2 linked regions of the Coturnix japonica genome follow. The protein of the gene in region 1 purifies or fractionates together with the protein of each later gene. This does not show direct contact. Links are inferred from orthologs where the notes say so. Each region holds a gene or a part of one and is shown on either strand. Other genes may lie near its edges.

Evidence for each region.
Region 2: the proteins of SNRNP40 (region 1) and SF3B1 purify together in Homo sapiens (co-immunoprecipitation; 3 studies listed by BioGRID and IntAct, with this or other methods). This does not show direct contact. The link is inferred for Coturnix japonica from reciprocal best matches to the Homo sapiens genes SNRNP40 and SF3B1.

Annotation. Positions count from the first base shown.
Region 1 is NC_029538.1:606,465-610,725, reverse strand, and holds the start of SNRNP40 (U5 small nuclear ribonucleoprotein 40 kDa protein), read left to right. Parts: upstream 1-1,350; 5' UTR 1,351-1,403; coding exon 1,404-1,637; intron 1,638-2,348; coding exon 2,349-2,478; intron 2,479-2,783; coding exon 2,784-2,877; intron 2,878-3,893; coding exon 3,894-4,059; intron 4,060-4,261. Other genes in the region: ZCCHC17 (nucleolar protein of 40 kDa), read right to left, coding at 550-607, 873-914. UniProt on the Homo sapiens protein: Required for pre-mRNA splicing as component of the activated spliceosome. Component of the U5 small nuclear ribonucleoprotein (snRNP) complex and the U4/U6-U5 tri-snRNP complex, building blocks of the spliceosome.
Region 2 is NC_029522.1:26,689-31,193, reverse strand, and holds the start of SF3B1 (splicing factor 3B subunit 1), read right to left. Parts: upstream 2,803-4,505; 5' UTR 2,700-2,802; coding exon 2,672-2,699; intron 1-2,671. UniProt on the Homo sapiens protein: Component of the 17S U2 SnRNP complex of the spliceosome, a large ribonucleoprotein complex that removes introns from transcribed pre-mRNAs.

The sequences.
Region 1 (4,261 bases):
AAGAACCAACTTTTCCTACATGCTTAACCCCAAAGCTGTTTGCTTGGCTTGGTCACACTGACTTGCGGAATCAAACTCTATAATCCAGAGATGGGTTATAAAGCAGGTATGTTTATTCCAGCATTGCGCAGCACCGGGTGCAAGGGGGATAGCTCCACCAAACTTGCACACCGACTTGTAAAATCGTGACACAGATATAGGTACATTTAATACATAGTCAATGATTTCTCAGAATTCTGATACATATTCAATGATTTCTTAAACTTCTAATACATAGTCAGTAGTTCTAGGAATTCTGATCCATATTCAATAGCTCTTTAGCATACAGACCCCCTCTTGTTCTTATCAGGGGGAATGCAACTCCTCTTCTGGTCGTCTGTGAGGTCTCACTCCTTATCTGCAACCTCCCTGCTCTCCTAGGCCCCTTGTTTCTTTTACTTGTTACCTTTAAGTTTCCTTTACTTGTTTCTCTAAACTACCTTTAAGTTTCCTGCTTCACTGTTCAACACCAACATGTAACCAAGTCCAAATGAAACCACAGCAACAAACCTTGCTTCCTGCAGCCCGGGATTTTAATAAACGCCCCATATTCCGTCACAGCAGCCACCTGTGAAGAAAACCAACACAGCATTTAATCGAAAGCCTTTAAACATTTATTCTCACTATAGAACACACACAACATCCAGATTATTCGTGTGATTTGCTACAACTCCGGGCACCTCAGCAGGTTGGAGCCAATATAACTATATCATATGGGGCCAGCTGCTGCTGTGCTCTGCAGACAGGCATCCTATAGAGGCCGATATACACACGGTGCCATATATACATACATATATATACATATATATGTGATATACACACAGTGCACACACCTCGCCCTGGAAGATGGCGTACAGCTCAGGCAGCGGCTCCATCGCCTCAGCGCCGGGGGGTGACGCGCTGCGGGGCCTACGACATCTGCCAGCCGCCTCCAACTACAGCATGAGACCTAAAGATGCCTTAAAGGAAGAAAACCATATGGAGATCAGACGGACCCGCTACAAAACATCTCTAACTCGCTTCACTCTACGCTCACAGCCGCCATTAGGCCTCCTCCGCACCGCCCTCACCTGAGGGGAGTCTTCAGCCCGCCAATCAACGCGCGCGATACTGGCGGGAGACAAGCGCAGCCAATCGAAGTGACTCATGTTATCTAGTGCCCACCCCTTGACCTCTCCGGCCTCAGCCCGGCCAATCCGTGTGAGGAGCGCGCCGCGATCAAGCGCGGTTTATACGTCATCTCTATGCGACGGAAGGAAGAAGAGAGGAGGGTGGGACATCTGGAAGCGCTCGTCCAATCAGCTCTGCAGAAGGCCGCGCTGTTGGCCAATGGGGGGGCAGGCGGGCGCGCGCGGCCCGTGGCGATGATCGAGCAGCAGAAGCGAAAGGCGCCGGGCGGCCCCGTGCCAGGCCCCGCACCGGGTCCAGCTCCAGCTCCCGGCCCCGGCCCCGCTCCCGGCGCTGCACCCGGCCCCGCTCCGGGTCCCGATCTCCCGCTCGTGCCCTCGGCGGCCAAGCGGCCTCGCCATGACCCACCTGCGGCTGGAGGAGGGGGCGGAGGCGGCGGGCAGCCCCCGGCCGGTGCTTTGGTGCAGTCGGTGAGGCCTGTGAGGGGGGACGGGAACGGAGGGGACCTTCTCTTTTGTCCCTCTCTACTCGGCTCTTGTGAGGCCCCATCTGTTGTACCGTGTCCAGGTGTGGAGCCCTCAGTACAAGAAAGACATGGAGATTTTGGAAAGGGTCCAGAGGAGGAACAGGAAAATGATCAGGGGGCTGGAGCACCTCCACTATGAGGACAGGCTGAGGGAGTTGGGTTTGTTCAGCCTGGAGAAGAGAAGGTTGCGGGGTGACCTCATTGCAGCCTTTCAATACCTGAAGGGAACTTACACCCAGGAGGGGAGTAAACTCTTGGAAAGGGCTGATAATAGCAGGACACGGGGAAATGGTTTTAAGTTAAAAGAGGGAAGATTTAGGTTGGATGTTAGGGGGAAGTTCTTCACTAGGAGAGTGGTTAGGCCCTGGAACAGGCTGCACAGGGAGGTTGTGGATGCCCCGTCCTTGGAGGTGTTCAAGGCCAGGTTGGACGGGGCCATGGGCAACCTGATCTATGGGGGGTCTATGGGGTCTCTATGGGGATCTATGGGGTCTCCTGGGCAACCTGATCTAGTAAAGGTGTATGTTTGGTGGCCCTGCTAGGCAGGGGGGTTGGAACTACATGATCCTTGAGGTCCCTTCCAACCCGGGTCATTCTGTGATTCTCCTTGTGCCCCTGCTCCGGATCCCCCTCACCTCCCCTTGTTCTCCCGCAGGGTCCCCCGCGCTGCTCCTCGCTGCAGGCGCCCATCATGTTGCTGTCGGGGCACGAGGGAGAGGTGTATTGCTGCAAGTTCCACCCTGGAGGAAACACCTTGGCGTCTGCTGGCTTTGACAGGCTGATCCGTGAGTAGCAGGCCAGGCTTCACCACCCCTAATTTAAAAATCATTGTCTTATATCCCATTAAAACCTCCCATCTTTTGGTTTGAAACCACTTTCCTTTGTGCAGTCACAGCAGATCCTGCTGGAACATCTGTCCCTTCTTTCTCATAGCTTCCCTTTAGGCTGCTATCACACCTCCCCTCATAGCTTCCCTTTAGATACTGAAAGGCAGCTATCACACCCCCCTACAGCCTTCTCCGGGCTGTGGATCTCTCAGCCTGAATTAGATGTATTATATTGTCCACTTTCCTCTGTGCTGTTTCTCTAGTGCTATGGAATGTCTATGGGGACTGTGATAACTACGCCACCCTGAAGGGACACAGCGGGGCGGTCATGGAGCTGCACTATAACACGGATGGCAGGTAAGGGGTACGCTGGTAAATTCCTGCCCATTCCCCACTGTTTCTAAGGGAAGATGTTTTCTGCTGGCCAGAGCCCTGCACAGCACCTCTTCATTGCCCCAGCCCAGCCAGCAGCCCTTGCAACAAACACTTCTACTGTTCCAGATTAGGAGCTGAGCATTGGCTCTGGAGCCACTTGTGACATATAAATACCTTTGGCTTCAGTCTTCAGAAATCTGAGTGCTCATGTTGATGATGTAGGAACTGTAGTTGCTTAACAAGGGAAAGAAAACACGCATGCATCTGTACCAGGAGGTTGCTAGACTTTTCTTTCTCTCTTCCCATCACAGACTGTGTCTGAAGAGTCAGAAATCCTATCTGTAATTTTATATAGAAATGGGGTTTGGTGAAAGCACCTCCTCTGTATTTGTTCTGCTGCCAATCAGCCTGCTGTGAAAGATCACAGTTGTCTTTGCATGTTGGGCATAGTTCTTAATAGTACTGGGGCCAATTTCATTTAATATCTTTATCAGATCTTCATCAGATCTGCACCACCATGAAACCAGCAGGTGACACCAAGTTGGGCCGGAGTGTTGCAGATAGATCTGGGTAGGCTGAGTTGATGGTCTGAGTCCAGTTATGTGACGTTCAACAAAGCTAAGTGCTGGGTACTGCACTTGGATCACAACAACCCCATGCAGTGGTATAGGCTCAGGGAGAGTGGCTGGAAGGGTGACGTGTGGGAAAGGATCTGGGCAGTTGTAGAGAGCAGTGAGATATCCTGCCAGCCACCTTTCCTCCAGTCAAAACAATTTAGTTTCCCTCAGCAGCTGTATCAAGAAAGGTGGCTGTAGCAAGAAGGATGTCAGTTTTCAGGTGACAAGTTACAGGACATGATCTTTTCAACCAGAATGAATGTCTGATTCAGTGGCGCGCTGACAATATTTCAAGCTTTGACATCAAGTCTGGAGAGTAAGAAAATAGGGTGGGAGAAAAGCTTCTGACATTGAGAATCTCACAGTGATTCTTCTCCACAGCATGCTCTTCTCAGCATCCACAGACAAGACTGTGGCTGTGTGGGACAGTGAGACTGGAGAGAGAGTAAAGAGGCTGAAGGGCCATACCTCGTTCGTGAATTCCTGCTACCCAGCAAGGCGAGGACCTCAGCTTGTCTGTACGGGCAGTGATGATGGGACAGTGAAGGTCAGTATAAGGAGATTAGTTACTGAAATCTTTTATTCAATTGCCTTGTTCCCTCATATTTTTCTTTAAAATCTGGGAATTCCTGATTGGAACAAGTTGCCCAAGGAGGCTGTGGATGCCCCATCCCTGCAGGCATTCAAGGCCAGGCTGGATGTGGCTCTGGGCAGCCTTGTCTGGTGGTTGGTAACCCTGCACATAGCAG
Region 2 (4,505 bases), on another chromosome or scaffold:
GGTCTGAAGCAAACCATTCAAAACTATTACCATTAACCCATCCGATCTTCCAAAGCGATGGTGGGGAAGGTAATTACAGCACAACAGTATTTTTCAACACTAGATGGTACAGGGCTTTGTCAATTAATGTAATCTTTTCATTAAAAGCAGCTACTGAGATGTTACCATCGATAAATCAGCACAATCAGTTTATTAAAAGAAACCTGTTTAAAGGAGGAAGCGTGTGAGTAGACACATGGGAACGTGCAACAGAAGAACACCTTATTCAAGAATAAAATATCCACTATGCTGCAACACTATATTACGTTTGAACCAACAAAACAGCCTGACAACACAGGCAGAAGTTCAGCCACAGCTCCCATCTCAGGCAGCTCAATGTAACCAGCTTGAGACAACTCCTGCCTCTGCCACCACCTGCGAAGAGACCACTGCTCTGCTGAACTGTTTGCCTATCCATTAATGAGGGCCAACAGGAGCTTTGGCACTCCCAACATATCAGGATCTGACACCCATTACCCCTGGGGTCAGTCACCGACCTCAGCAATTTGGCACCTTTGGCACCGTTTGAGAGAACACTAAGTCAGTAATCCCCAACACCAAGGAATCAAATTTAACCAATCTCCCTCCCATGCACTGGTAAAAGCAACAGGCAAATCAGCTGTGGTCATTCAGTTGCCTTCAATAAACAAGATCAAGACTCAGGCACAACAAGGAAACACATAATTCCACTAAAATAATTGTTTTCATCTGTATTTGCTCTTGTTGGGTGAAAGAATAGCAAGGCTCATGCTTGCAGGGGCTGGACTAGATCTCAAATGCCCTTTCTGACCTCAACAATTCTGTGCTTCCCCCTCCCCATCTGAAGTCCTACTGCCTATGATGTTAATTGGAGGGAAATTCATCCATTTCCAAAAGCTGCATAGAAGTTACACTAGCAAATCACCCAGAAACTCTACCACACGCTCCTGAGCTATTTACTACTGTTGCTCATCTTCTATCTTCTTCAGGACTAATATATCTCACAATACTTTTCCTCAGAGGCAGCTTGCAGAAGATGCCTATGAATACAAATTAAGAAAGTTAAGAATAAAGATAAAATCATCATTAATTCAGCTGCAGGCTGGCCAGAGCTTAATAGCTACGTGGGGCACAGTCACCTCCACACTGAAGGAACCCAGCTACCTGCCCGGAGATTCATGAGAGCTGAAGCCCAACGAAAGCCTTATATTGCTGGCCATCAGCCCCAGCTGAACTCTGCCTGTGCATCCAGCTTCCCAGCACAGGTTCTTCAGGACTGCAGACATTGTGCTCCTAAGTACATTAATAAATAATTAATAAATACCAGAAAGAAACTTCAGAGACATCCCACACGTACTCCATCAACCAACAACTCCTTCAGGCATTTCATTTTTGCACAGTTGTCCCATCACTCGACTGTGAAACCAAAACAACTCCAAGAAGCACTTTGACCCCGCCAGGTTTGTTACGTGTTTCTAGTTTCTTGTCTACTTCAAAGGGCAGATCAAGTTCTTGATTTTGTTTGCAGCTTGCTGCAATGCAGCACTGGGGTGAAACGAAATACCTGAGGCTTCCAGTGCTACTGAAGACACTGGAAGGACACTACACCAAGTGTGTGAATCCAACCAAGTCCTCACAGTGAAAGAAACACTCACATGGTTACAGCATTTAAAAATAACGTGGTGCAAGAAACATGGGACCCAAACTTCCCTTCTTACGTTACAGCCTGGTAAAACATACACTGCATATACTTAGATTGCAGCGAGGGTGTTAAGGGAACGTAGGACTTTAAACCTTGGACCGTAGGATGTTGCTTCCTCAGATCTCCGCATACTTTGAAATTGATCTTACTTATAAGCTGGAGAGCTCTGAGCTGTCCGTCTGCACACAGCCCTTCCTGCCTCAGGAACAAACCCAAGGGATTTAATACAGAAAACAATCTGAAACCGCCTGAAGATCAGGTCTTCCAAGCATTTAAACACATAGTTTACATTAAATCGATCAGCAGTTTCTCATCATACAACAGGGCTACATCTGGACAGAGTTCACTCAAAAACTCCAACCCTTTGTGCCCATATTCCTCCTCCTCTTGTCTCACTGCACCGTTAATAGCAACTAACAGTAACTAACACGGCCTCTCGCAGCTCACCCGCCACACACACACACACACACACACAGGAGGAAAAGCAGGCCAGCAATCGCACAGAGCTAATGCTAACAACTGGCTTTGTTTGCTTCGAGACGCCCACAAGCGATGCCGCCCGGGAAGCCGTGCGGGGAGCAGGGAGAGCCCCCGCCACAGCAGCTCCGCTATGGACCCGCCCAGCGGCGGCACCGAGCACTCTCTACATGGCGCCTCCCGACCAAGGGGGGGCACCTCGGCGGGCGACATCTTGTAGCTGCCGTCGGGATGGCGCCGTTCTATCAATGGCAGCACGGCGCTCCGCACCGCCCGCACAACCCCGCAGCGCCGGGCGGCCCGGCCATGGCGCTCATATGGGCGGCGACGCCATTACGAGCGGGCCCGGCCCGGCCCGGCAGCCATAACCCCGGCACCACTGAGGGCTGCGGACGGAGTATAACGGGATTAGAAGACGCGAAAGGTGCACGCAGCTTAAAAAAGAACCGCCAGGAGCGGATTTCAGCCCTTTACCTTCGTGGGTCTTGGCGATCTTCGCCATTTTGTCCAGCGCCAACAACACCGACACGGAACTGCCGCGGCCCCAGCGCTTCCGCTCGGGGGGGGGGGGAGGAGGGAGGCGAGGCAGTACTGCGCACGCGCAGTTGCGGGCCGCGCCGCGGCTGGCCGAGGGCTGGGGCGTTGCGCAAGCGCAGTGACGGCGGCCAAAAGCGCCACTCGGGCGGCCGGGCGGCCCCGCAGGCCGAGATCGGAGCCACGTCCTCCGTCTGACTGACGTCTCTGCCAGCCAATAGGAATGCGGCGTGGAAGACAAGTGGCCAATAGCGGTGCGGCGAGGCGGAGGGGTGGGGATGTGGCTTGAGCACTGCGTGCTACGGGGCCTCTGCCGCAAGATGGCGGCGGTTTGTACGTTAATGCTGAGCTGCTGTTTGCCTAATGCTCCACATGCACTAATGCTCCATAATGCCTGTGCTCCACATAGAGCGCTGAGAATATAGCCAGGGGTTGATAGTAAACATGTATCCATCGCAGCGTGGAGCCACAGCAGGAGTAAATCCAATCCTAGCACTGCTAATAGCCATGTTATATGCAAAGTCTAGCCCACATGAAGCACCAACACTGACCTGAGATCCAAGTCTGACTTAAAGCCAATGTTTTGTGTTTGAGAACATGAGTTTGATCAGTCAGTCCATCCCTGTGTCTGCATTTGCTTTTTTATCGCTTAGTTTACAGAAGTTTACTGAGCAATTCAGTGCTTGTAATACTTTGCATAACTGCATGTGTTGAAATATACTTGAGATTCATGTGAAAGCACAGAGGATCTGCTCTTTAGTATTATTAAACTCACATCCTGCACTCGTAGGCTATGGAACAGAGATATATACCGAGCTGTTGAGAGACGTGTGAGGATAAGGTCAAGGCAGACACTAATTCCCTACTACAGGAATTTAATGCCTGCAACTATTTTAAGTAACCGTCACATGCTTGGGTTCACCACGAAGATCAATTTGCAGTAACTTTCTCTTGTTTCTTCAGCTTGACTTCCAGCTTGCTTTATATCACATTCCCACTGTTATTAAACAGAACTGAGCTCAAGGGTTGCGATCCTAAGGTACACTTTTAACATGTGGTTTTGGAAGATGCCATTTCCCCTCACAAAAGGAGTCCTGTGTTGTGTGGAAAATGGAAGTTTCTATATGGATTGGAAAGATATTGGTTTTAAGAGCCCAGAAGCTTTCCACATAGTGTCATACCTAAATAACAAGCTGGCATGGTCTTGCTTTAATTAACAGATTCAGGTCCAATGTCATGGCCAGCCCATGCTATCAGTAGCTGGTACCAAAAAGCATTGCCCAGTCACGCCTGTCCTTGATTTACCCATTCAATTGTGCCATTGCCACTGGTTCACTCAAGTAGCCCAATGCTCACAGCTACTGCCTCCTGCTAATCTTCGAAGAACAACTAATTCAATTTTTACAGCCACAAAACTATTAAGAATTGTACGGTGAACTAAGATGAAAAAAGCCACAGATCTGGTCACATCTCCCTGCCTTGGTTTACCCCGGATCTGTGCTATGCTTTGTTTGCCGTCACCTGTTTCCTGACATTTCTGTGTCAGTTAAAGGCAAAAAAATATTGACTCAAAGTAGAAATGTAACAAAAGTGGGTATGTTTCAGCTCCACATACACTGAATTCAAGTTTATCACATCTTGAGAAAGGAAAAAATACCAATCTCTTCCAGTTCCAGCTTTGCTTCTGACGTCAAGAAGTAACGTGGAGAGGATCTATTTCCTTACTGAGAAGCCAATGAGGGGGTAAAAAACAAACAATTTAGACGACAAACGT